3 linked regions of the Sus scrofa genome follow. The protein of the gene in region 1 interacts with the protein of each later gene in a pairwise test. Links are inferred from orthologs where the notes say so. Each region holds a gene or a part of one and is shown on either strand. Other genes may lie near its edges.

Region 1 (3,746 bases):
CTATGCCACACACCCGCCAAAAAACTCTCTCAACCAGGACCTTTTCCCCATTCTGATTACCCCAACTCTTAAATTTTTTTAATAGTTTCCTAATAGTTTTCTCTTGGCCTCCAGCCTCCTTTGCTTCTCCAGCCCCTCCCCCAATCGCTATGGCATTAGCAGTCAGCCTACTTGGTTACTTCATCTGCGGAAAAGGAGTATATGGGAGCCATCCACCTTGGCAGGGAGGGGTATTTTATCACTGACACTGTTTAGAAGGGTGCGAATATAAAGCAGATTGACTTTGAGTTAGTTTTTGTTACTGTGTTTACATTCCCTACAGACAATGCACCCATTTTGCCTACACCTGGCCAGCTGTGCTGACCCCCATTCTGCTCAGCATGACACTGGAGACAGGATCTGCTTTGCAGAGCTGTTGTGAAGGTTAAATGAAGCAATACTCACTGGGAACTTAGCCCAGGCTCCTGCACATGGTGAGTGCTTGGTCCACGTTAACAGTTTTTAGTTATAACACTAGCATTGGCTCCTTATCCCCAGTAGGACTCCTGTTTTGGCAAAGCCTTGGCGCGTCTGGTCTCAGTCACTCCCTTCTACCCTCCTGAACCCCATTCTCTAGGTAGGGAACGGTTTACTCTGCCTTCACAGCACCAAGTCTTTCCATGTTCCCATGCCTTTGCGGGTGCCTTTTCATGGGCCTGGAATGTCCTCCTTCTTCGCTGCAGATTCATCATTTAAGGTCCAGCTCACAGTCATGCTTTTTGTGATGCCTTCCTCAAGTTAGCCAGACAAAAGGATGCCTCCTCCACTGTGCATCCATGGCCCTTAGCTCGCATCTCCTCTTTAAAGCCTGCCTTGGCTGGAGCCCCTGGAAAGGAGACACTGTCCGTGCTCATCTTTGTGATCTAGTCTGTAACCACAGTCACCAAAATTGCGTCTGTGCCATAATATAGGCTCAGTCCTTGTGGAGGTCTTGATTGGTTTGTTTGGTTTTATCGGAAGGAATGACCAAATGAATGAATGAAGGGGGATGGCTTTGAATTCACCCTAGATGGAGCAAAAAGTTCGGGCAGTGACAGAGTTGGTCATTGGAGGTAAGCTCACCTGGGACTCTTCTTTCCATGCCCCAAGAAAAATATTCTCAGGTAATAGAGTCCCTGTCATCCTCAAGAAGTGAACTCAGTAACTAAACGAAAGGCTGTATTTAAGAGCAGGGAGAGTGTGAAGCGGGTTAACTGTCTTCATAGCTGTCCCTGAGAGGGCGCTGTTCCCAAATCAAAGCTCCAGAGGCCGGGACTGAAATACCAGAGCGTTCCCACCGGACTCAGCATCCCTGCCTTCCCAGGCAGCTGGCGGTCGCGGGTCTCCAGGGCGGCGACTGCCCACAAACATGGCGGCGCCCTGCTCAGCTTCTCCCCGCCGGGGCCGCCAGGCCAGGCGAGTTTTGCCAGGACTCGGGGACTTCCTCCGCGAGCCGGCTTCCTGCACGACTGGCATTTAAACCGGCGCCTGGGGCTGCAGGTTGCGGCTGCGGATGCTGAGTTGTCTGCGGGCTGGGCAGCGCCGTCGCCTCCCCTGAGCCTCCGGCGCAGGCGGCAGCGGAGCCCAAGCATCCCTTAACTGCCCCCGAGCCAAAGCTGGAGAGAGCTGGGGGAGATCGGGGACCCTGGCATCTGGCATTTTAATTACAGGTTTGACTTTTTTCCCCCCAAGATCGCAGCCCTCCTGCTCAGCCCAGATATTTTTCCTCCCTCCGGCCTTGGTTGCTGGATGAAGCCGGGGCTGGGCTTGGTCCCGGGAGCAGGAGAAGAAAGCGTTCCCGGCCCCTCGCGGTCGCCCCAGGGACCCCCGAGCCCCGCGCCCCGGCCATGGTGCGCCTGAGCCCCGCGCTCCGGTGAGGCGGCGGCGCGGCTCGGATCCTGGCGGTCCCGCCCTGAGGGACACCTTCCGCAAGGAGCCGAGGGTGCGCGACGCGGGGCTCCGCGCCCTCCTGCTGGGACTGGGCACCGGGTGGTGAGCAGCGGCCGCGATGTTCAGCTGGCTGGGTTCCGACGACCGCCGGAAGAAGGAACCCGAGGTCTTCCAGACCGTGAGCGAGGGGCTCAAGAAACTCTACAGGACCAAGCTGCTGCCCCTGGAAGAGCACTACCGCTTCCATGAGTTTCACTCCCCTGCCCTGGAGGATGCCGACTTTGACAACAAGCCCATGGTCCTGCTGGTGGGCCAGTACTCCACCGGGAAGACCACCTTCATCAGGTGAGCCAGCCAGTGTCCCCGCAGCCCACCCCGCCGCCCAGCGTTTGGGCCCTCCATTCACTCCGGGTGTTCCCTCCTGCCTGGGGACAAACGCGCAGTCATCATTTGAAGGCTCTGGAGAAATCCTTGTGCAGGGCTGTCCAGAGCTTAGCCCCAAATTTCACTGTGGGTTTCCAACCCGGTCCAACCTACTGCCTCTCCCTTGCATCAGCCCTTGGCTTAAGTGGTCAGTTTGCAGTGCTAAACTTCATCCTTATTCTTCCCACTTTAGGGATGGTGAAACTGAGACCCAGGAGGCGCAGGTGACAAAGCCCTGGTCCAAGAGTACCTCTCGCTAGTGGAGGTGTCTCACACCTTCACGTTGTAGGGACATGCCCTGGCCAGTCACGGCCACTTCCCCTGCCCCATTCATATGGGGGCTTTACAGTTGCAGCTGAGAAGTTGGGCTGAGGAGCCTGTTGCCCTCTGCCTGGTTAGTGCCACTTGTCCTTCTTTTTCTCAATTTCCTTCTCTGAGCAGAGCTCAGAGTCTTGGAGACTGGAGAGAAGCAGTGTCCAGAAGCAGAATTCTTTTTTCTTTTCCCTTGTTTGAGCTTAATGGCTCAGTAATCATGAGTTTAGGGGTGGAAGGGATATTGGCTCTTGTCTCATCCAGCCCCTTGATGGGGCAGGAGAGGTAACCGAGGCATAGAGAGGTTACCTGAGCTGTGCAAAGCCCTACAACAGGGTAGGAGGCCGACCTGGGATGCAGGTCCTAGACGCATGGGAGGAGATGGTTGGCTGAATGCCTGTAACTTTGAGAGTGAGTCATCCATTCCCTTGAATTATAGAGTCCTTGGGCTCGAGGGATCCTCAGGAAGTCAGCGAGTCCATCTGTATTCAGGGAGGTGCCCAGATTGTCCACCAGAGCAATGAGGATTTTTCATATCTTTAGAGGACAGGCTTCTCTCCAGCCCTCAGTCCACACAAACCTCAAGGCCAAGCCATCCTCCTTGGCCTATTCATGGCCTCTGCAAGCTGCTGAGGGTGCTCGTGGCCCTCCACGTTAGAGTCAGGCTCATACAGAGTGGTGATGGGTTCGGTGCCTGCCCCCCCGCCCCACCCCCACCCCGAGTTAATGGTGCTCATCTCCTGCAAAGGTTTCAAAGCGGGGTGTTCTCATTTCCATTCATTGAGCACCTGCAACATGCAAAGCACTGTGCTTTATTTGGTGAGGAGAGCAGAAAAGTTCACAGTCTGGTTCCCAATTTTCTAGATTCAAATTTCCCCCAGCTCTAAGCTCTTAACAACAAGCCTTCTGGGAGCAGGGCATACACCAGGCTAATGTGGCATGTCTGAACAGAACACCACGGGAATCTTTCTTGTGGGGTGGACAGCCTTGAACTCAGCAGCTTTGAGAGGCAGAGTGATTTCTGAAGAAGTTGGGTACCCAGGGTGGATGTTGGCTTTTGGATATCTTAGACTGTTAGGGCTCCAAGGGCTTTTAGGGATGAA
Region 2 (3,646 bases), on another chromosome or scaffold:
AGGGATGGAACCCTCAACCTCATGGTTCCTAGTCGGATTCGTTTCTGCTGCGCCATGATGGGAACTCCAATTCAGGCGTCTTTAAGTTCCCTGGAGGGCAGGGACCCTAAGGCCTTCTTTTCTGTGCTCCTCGTCTCCCCCAGAGCCAGCTAGAACTTCCCAGGCCTTTGCGAACTCTCCGAAAATGATGTTTCCCAAGTCCAGATGTTGATTAGGGACAAAGGTAGGGGAGGGGAAGAAGCAAAGGAAACATCGTAGTGTCTTGGGGACCTTGGCAGTTTTCAGCTGTTTCCAGCACTCATTCATTCAGCAGACACTCGCGGAGTGCCTGCTGAGTACCCGGGACCAGGGCGGGTGTTGGGTACAGGACGTGAACAAAATGTGACCCCGGCCTTCTAGGAACGCTGCTGGGGAGACTGAGATAAACGGCTCAGACCAGTGGCTTTCCTCTCATTTGGTCTCAGGACAAGCTTTTGTTGGGGGCTGGGCTGGTGTCAATGTCACACTCTTCAGGAGTGGCAAACTGAGGGGAGGAGGCAGGGACCCAGCAGAGGGGAGAAGGAAGCCACCTGGCATGAGGTGGCAAAAGGGGCTGAAGCTCATATGCCATTTCCCTCCCCCTCCCCGGTCCACCTGGCCTTGGGTTTGCAAACGGCCCTCTCCTGCCTTGGCCCACTGTTCGCCCGCTATATCTTGGACTCTGCCTGGAGAAGCTGGGGTCGGGGCGGGGAGGGCAGGAGGAGACGGGCTCTCCCAGGCCCAGACGCTACCCATCCTCCCCACCAGCCTGAGAGGTGGGAGCTGAGCTTTCCCCACTTCGCAGATGGGTAAATCAAGGCGGCAAGGACTGCTGCCCAGGGTCACTTAGCCTCGCCTGGGAGAGCAGGACCCAGGACCCAGATGTTGGAGGCTGTGCTGCCCGCCCCGGCCTCTGGGCCCACGTCCCAGGCAGTCAGACTGCAGTTTTCAGCCGTAGAAGGATAAAGCTTCGGGCGGGTGCACCCTGGAGGCTGCTGAGCATGAAGGCTGGGCCTCCTCTGCTGGTTTTAGCGACTCCGACAGCCAGAGCTGGGCAGTGGGGTGGGGGTTAAAGCTGGGAGTCCCCCCAGGACAGGGCCTGCCCCTTCTTCCCACCTGTCCCAGCTCAGAAACTGGGACACCCTTTAGGGCTCCCCCAAGGCTGGTGCCCCCAGGAGTGGTCCAGTGGGGTCAGGCCAGCCGTTCAGCGCCAGCAGCTCTGGAGAATGTAATATTGCCAGGCTGGTTCAGACTTGTTCTATTCCTGGCCCCACTGAAACAACATTCCTTCTTGGGCTGGGCTGGGGATTCAGGAAGCTGGCGTGGCTTCTCCAGGTTTGTGACATGCAGTGGAAGGACCAGAAAGATGGATTCCCAGGGCTGGGTGGCTTCCCTGCTCTGAGCCTCAGTGTCCCTATCTGTAAAGTGGGGTCACTACCTGTTAAGTAGAGTTAAAAATAAGTAAATTTAAAGCAGGAGCTCAGCCCGGTATCCATTGTGAGGTCAGCACTCTGCGGATGTCCCCACTGCTACCAGCATCAGTCCTGGTCTTTTTTTTTTTTTTTTTTTTGGCTTTTGAGGGCTGCACTCACGGCATATGGAGGTTCCCAGGCTAGGGGTCCAATCGGAGCTACAGCTGCCGGCCTACACCACAGCCACAGCAACGTGGGATCCGAGCTGCATCTTCGACCTACACCACAGTTTACAGCAACACTGGATCCTTGACTGATTGAGGGAGGCCAGGGATGGAACCCGCATCCTCATGGATACTAGTTGGGTTCGTTAACGGCTGAGCCACAACGGGAACTCCTGATCTTAGTTTTGTCTTTGCCACTGAGTCAGGACGTGGCTTCCTGGGGGATAAACTTGAACCTGGGACTTTTCAGCCCCGCCCTTTCTCAGTGATTTCCAGCCTCTACTCAGAGGCCTTCGGGGCCTTGAGCTCATCCTCTGCCCAGGTGCTTTTTGCCCCCATTTCCTCCTCGACACCCCACCACCCGTCCCCAACCCTGCTGAGGCCCAGGCTCAGGCTGAGTCACCTCCCCTGGTCACACCCCGGCCCCAGCCCCCTCCTCAAGGTTCCTCCTCCCCTTTGCCTCCTACAGAGATTTTGATTCACTTTCCAAGGACAATGTCTTCGAGAATAACCGTTTGGTGAGTCCCCTGGAGAGATGGAAGTGCGAGAGACTGTGTACGTTGTAACTGGGCCACCGGGCCTGCCCCTTCTCCCGGTCACTGGTCACCATGTGGGGCCAGAGCTGGGCGGAGCCCACAGCCACCCCCGCCCTGGTCCCCCTCATCCCACCGAGAGCGAAGCTGGGCTGGTGATGAGTGGTACCTGCTGACCCTACCTCCTCTTCCTCTTCCTGCTGTGGCTTCCTCCGCAGGGCACCCCAGCCTCCCCCCCCACCCCCACCCCGCTTGCACCTGCACCGACCCCCACACTTCTCCCCGCTCTGCCCCCATCTCCCACCCTCACGTCTGCCCCCACCCCAGGCCTTCGAGGTGGCTGAGAAGGAGCTGGGGATCCCTGCTCTCCTGGACCCCAGTGACATGGTCTCCATGCGTGTCCCCGACTGCCTCAGCATCATGACCTACGTGTCCCAGTATTACAACCACTTCGCCAGCCCCGGCCAAGGTGAGAGGGGTGCCCCCGCTGTGCAGGGCAGCTGGCCCTGGGGGCGGGGCTGGGGCCGCACCCTGCTGTTTGCTGAGCTGCAAACAGGCCTGGGGAGGCAGCACCTCCTTCATTTACTGCCTGGCTCATTCACTCCTTCATTCACTCGTTGCAATACTTACCGAGTGAAATAACCCTGGGGGCCCACGTGGAGCCCACAGTCTTGTGGAGACAGACCACAAACACTGGAGCCAGCAACTGAGCAAAATAACATCAGAGGAGACAAAGCGAGTTCACCCGCCCTCTGGGAGTTCACCTTTGTCACCCACCCTTGCTTCCTGTTTGCAGACACTTCCCTGGGGTTTTTCCTCCAGCTGGCAAGGGGTCCTGCAGGGCGGCTGTGCACACCGTCTTCCTTAGCCGTGACCTTCAAGGCCTGAGAACCACGAGGCAGGGGAACTGTGGGGGGTAGGGGCTGCCAGGGTATTTCTCTGCTCTGGGTCAGGTCTCTGGGTGGCTATTGAGTCTCCAGCTTGGAGAGTCCCCGTGAGAGTCCCCACGCGGGAATCTCTCCTGGGGCTGCCTTGCCTTCCGCAGAGAGGAAACGGGCCCAGGGAGGGGAGGGAAGCGAGGATCCCAAGGTCACACAAGCAGGAAGACCAAATCCGGGCGTCCCGACTCCTGCGCCGTGTCACTGCTGCCACGGTTCCCCGGCCTCCATCACGGTCCTTCCTGCTGCTGTCTGTGGGGACAGTCTCAGCCTGTCTCTTAGAGTGGTATCCTATCAAGTCAGGGAATTTTTTTCTTCCTGAGAGTAAAACATGCTTACTGTAGGCAATTTAGGACAATAGGAAAGAGCATAAACATTTTAAAATTTAAATAATCTGTTACTCCCCCTCCCCCACCCCCAGCTATTTCTCCCCAGGGATCGATATTATAACTGAACCAATCACATGTGTATTTTACTAGAAACCAAAACGAAAGTATTTCTCAAGTGTGGAGTCTTTGGTG
Region 3 (3,646 bases), on another chromosome or scaffold:
CCCCTGCAGGAATAACTGAGAAGGTCTGAACCTGAACCCACATTTATCCTGTCAAAAGCCCAGGGACCTTGATTTTGTCCAGAGGACTTAACCACACAGGTTGACACATGAGCTGGGACTGTCTTCTGATACTCAGATGGTCTTTTAGAAAGGAGGGGAGGGGTGTTATCTGGTAATTCTCACCTACAACACATACTCACACACACACTCCCAACCACTAACATCTGTTCTTTTATTTTTTTAAAGTTTTCAATACAAGGCCTCAGAGTAGTGCATGCAAATCAATGACCCTCAAACTCTCTGTCACTGTCAGATGACCACCACAATCTGCTACCACAGTCTGTGACCTGGCAAAAAGACAAGCTTCTCACCCAAGTCCCATCACATAACTTATGCCAACATCCGACCTACAACATGGCTGTTGATGACTCAGGTACATTTTAGTATCTGAATAGAAAAGACACAGTGAGCAGCAAGTATAATGAGTAAGTGTCCTTAGTGTATTAGACAGGGAAAATACAAACACAGCATAAAAGTGAAAAGCCAGCTTCATTTGATGCCTGAATCCCCAAAGTCTCTTCCATACATGCTCTGGGTCTAGGGACATATGCCAATGCTGTATCAAGGACTTGCTCATTTTCTGATAACATGGAGCTGTTTGCATTGAAGGAATGCAGGATGAGTGAAATATTCACATGAGGCAAGATCTTGAAGTTATGGTGGCAATCACAGGTCATCTTTTCCTTGATGTTAACCAACCCCTGTAAATACAACTTTGTGCCCATGCGAATTCCAGGAAATGGTACAAATCAGGGGTAGAGAATTCTACCTCTTGTCATGCCTGTGACTATATGAGAATATAACCATGGGAGAATTAAATGGAAGAATTCATGGAAAAATACAGCCATGGAAGAATTCAATCACATCAGAAGGTTTGAGTCCAGAAGGGTTTTAGTTTGTTTTAGTATATTCAGTGATTTTTTTTTTTTAAGTTTAAAAACACGTTGCTTATGTGCGTGGTTCTCGATTCTCTTAGTTAATTACTAACTGCCACTAGCAGTTGATTTCAGGGAAAGGCTATGTTTGGTAAATTGGTCTTAATTGAAACCACTAGCTAACTAAAAGATGTATTCTCATTAGAAAGGAAATTATGAGGGAGAGCAGCATTTAGCTTCTGGAACGACCTGCTTTTGGTGCAGAGAGCTTCCTTCTCTTCAGTCAGAGAGAAAAGACAGATGAGCAGGTAGGAGCATGCAGCCCATCAGTAAACCCCTCTAGAGTAACAGCATGAAGGGCAATGACCTTGAGTAAGAAAAGACACATGTACCAGACAACATTTTAGATGCCTAAATGCCAACCTCCAAAAACCATGACAAGCAGCAAGGTTGGTAAGTGGTGGACCTTAGGACCCCACTTTACATTCCTTTGTGAACAGAACCCAAATGGCAAGTGTCGTCCACAGACTCTCCACCCACCCACTACCCATCCCCACACCCCTGCACAGGACCTTTCTATCCAGCCAAAGATCCAGCAGGTACTAAAGACATGTGAATAGTGTCAATACAAATATAGATTATTTTTATACCACAATGTTTTTCAGACATTCTCAAGATCAACAGGGTTCTTCACAGAATGTAACAAAATGAATTTCAGCTCTCACTCTACTAACCAATGAGAGTATCACCCAGAGTTAGTTAAGGGGTATAAAGTGACTAGTGGTCATTAGTTAACAAGCATAATTGCAGGAACTCTACCCAAAGCTGAGTACACTTGGGTTTCATGATGTCAGATGTCAGTTAAGGGTTATGTTCCTGTAAACCTAAGCACCAGAACTAAATCAACAATTTCCCTTTTTGCCCTCAACTGGTGAAGAGTTCAAGTACTATGGTTCTACTAGAATGATCCTGGGTTGTGCCTCTTTCAAACATTTCAGTTCTTATTACTAAACACTGGTAAGGAACTCACCAGTGCCCACGTTAGGACAAGATGAACCAGAAGACAAGAAGGCCCATCAATTAGCCTTGGAAGATATTTTAATTGACCTTCTGACTCAGGAAAGCATCAACTTCTCTAACAATATTCCTCAAAAACTTCCTGATCATCAATTCCTGAACCATAGACTGGGCCCACTGAAAATGCCCCAGAGTAATTTTGCCAAAGCTCTAGAAGGAGCTTTCTCCAGGGACAGACAATTGTCCCAGCAGTCATTCAATTCTACAGAGGGACACTTGGGTAAAGCCTATTCTCCCAAAGTATACTATCTCTATCAACTCAAAGGCTAACCACTCCTATTTTCTTTCTTTTTCTTTTTTGTCTTTTGGCCCACTGCATTTGGAAGTTCCCCAGCCAAGGATGAAACCCTCACCATAACAGTGACAACCCTGGATGTTTAACCCACTGGGAACCCATAACCACTCTTATTTTCTATAAAAAGTTCATCATCAGACTCACAGTGATACTTCTGCCCTAGCTTAACTTCCTGAAAGAGAACTCAGAGTAAGAGGGTAACAGGCCCTGGTGAAACCTCACCCCTCTGAGAGGTGCTGGGCTTTTCTGGGTCTAAACTGCTGCCTTCACAGCAATCCCTCCCCAGAAGGGCAAAGGAAGCCCCAGTTGAAAGGGACTTAGCCTCAGGGGGACAGACTTCTGCCAGAGCAGAGGAAGATTTAAAGGACTCTAGCTTGTCTGTCTTGGCTAAAGGAAGGGTCTTAATATAGGCTGCCCTATAATACTGCGTAAGGACCAAACAGCAGGCAGGAACAAATGGAAGCACAAGGTGCATGGCAGCCGCTTCTGCCCGGGGCCCTACAGAACTGCATATACTATCTCGGCAGTGAAGATTTAAAGTCCCTGCTAAAGGAAAGCCCAATGAAAAGCAAAAAAAAAAAAAAAAAAAAACAGGAAAAACAGCAAACGTGTGCTGATTCTTCCTGTTCCACTTCCCATTTTTTTATTCAACTATGGTGGAGAAAGCTCCAGGTGCACAGCACGAAGCAGCAGATTCCTCCCCCACTAACCTGTGTGCATCTTAAACCTTGCCCACTTCCTTCTCCATGAACCTCAGCAACCCTCCCCACAAAGGCACCCCACCCATCGAGGTCAGTCGGCGCCCTTCTGTTTGGCCAGGGTGCGCTTCAGCTCCCTCAGGTTGTCGGTCAGCACCTCCACCTCATCCAGGCGGCCACACTGCTTGGCATCAAAGATGTACGCTTGATGTTGTCAATCTGCTGGAGAAGGAGCTCCTCCTCTATGGGCTCCTCGCCCTCCCGCCCACTGTCGCTGTCCACCTCGAAGGGGTTGGTGCAGGGGGCTTCCTCGAAGGGGTTGCCAGGAACAGGAGGGCCTGAGGGCCTCTGACTGGGATGCTCTTCTTCTTCATCGAAGGGATTGGGGGCTGGGCTGTCAGCATCAGTGAAGGGATTTCCTGCCACCGCCTCCTCCTCCTTCTCCTCAAAAGGATTGTACTCTTTGAGGATGCAGGCTGAAGGGCTGAGGGAAGGCTCTGCAGCAGTAGGGCTGGCTGTGCCCTCAGCTGAGGGGATGGGGAGGTCTTCCTCATCAAAAGGATTTAGGGAGGGCGCCTCATTGTGTTGGAATGTGGTGCTCTGGGGGGAGAATTCCTGGCCAAGGGCTGGGGGCCCAGACC

Evidence for each region.
Region 2: the proteins of EHD3 (region 1) and MICALL1 interact in binary tests that used the Homo sapiens proteins (3 or more experiments, as listed by UniProt). The link is inferred for Sus scrofa from reciprocal best matches to the Homo sapiens genes EHD3 and MICALL1.
Region 3: the proteins of EHD3 (region 1) and RBSN interact in binary tests that used the Homo sapiens proteins (3 or more experiments, as listed by UniProt). The link is inferred for Sus scrofa from reciprocal best matches to the Homo sapiens genes EHD3 and RBSN.

What each region holds. Positions count from the first base shown.
Region 1 is NC_010445.4:108,132,681-108,136,426, reverse strand, and holds the start of EHD3 (EH domain-containing protein 3), read left to right. Parts: upstream 1-1,265; 5' UTR 1,266-2,026; coding exon 2,027-2,253; intron 2,254-3,746. UniProt on the Homo sapiens protein: ATP- and membrane-binding protein that controls membrane reorganization/tubulation upon ATP hydrolysis. In vitro causes tubulation of endocytic membranes. Binding to phosphatidic acid induces its membrane tubulation activity.
Region 2 is NC_010447.5:9,950,449-9,954,094, reverse strand, and holds part of MICALL1 (MICAL-like protein 1), read left to right. Parts: intron 1-2,123; coding exon 2,124-2,172; intron 2,173-2,514; coding exon 2,515-2,656; intron 2,657-3,646. UniProt on the Homo sapiens protein: Lipid-binding protein with higher affinity for phosphatidic acid, a lipid enriched in recycling endosome membranes. On endosome membranes, acts as a downstream effector of Rab proteins recruiting cytosolic proteins to regulate membrane tubulation.
Region 3 is NC_010455.5:69,431,399-69,435,044, reverse strand, and holds the end of RBSN (rabenosyn-5), read right to left. Parts: coding exon 3,156-3,646; 3' UTR 216-3,155; downstream 1-215. UniProt on the Homo sapiens protein: Rab4/Rab5 effector protein acting in early endocytic membrane fusion and membrane trafficking of recycling endosomes. Required for endosome fusion either homotypically or with clathrin coated vesicles.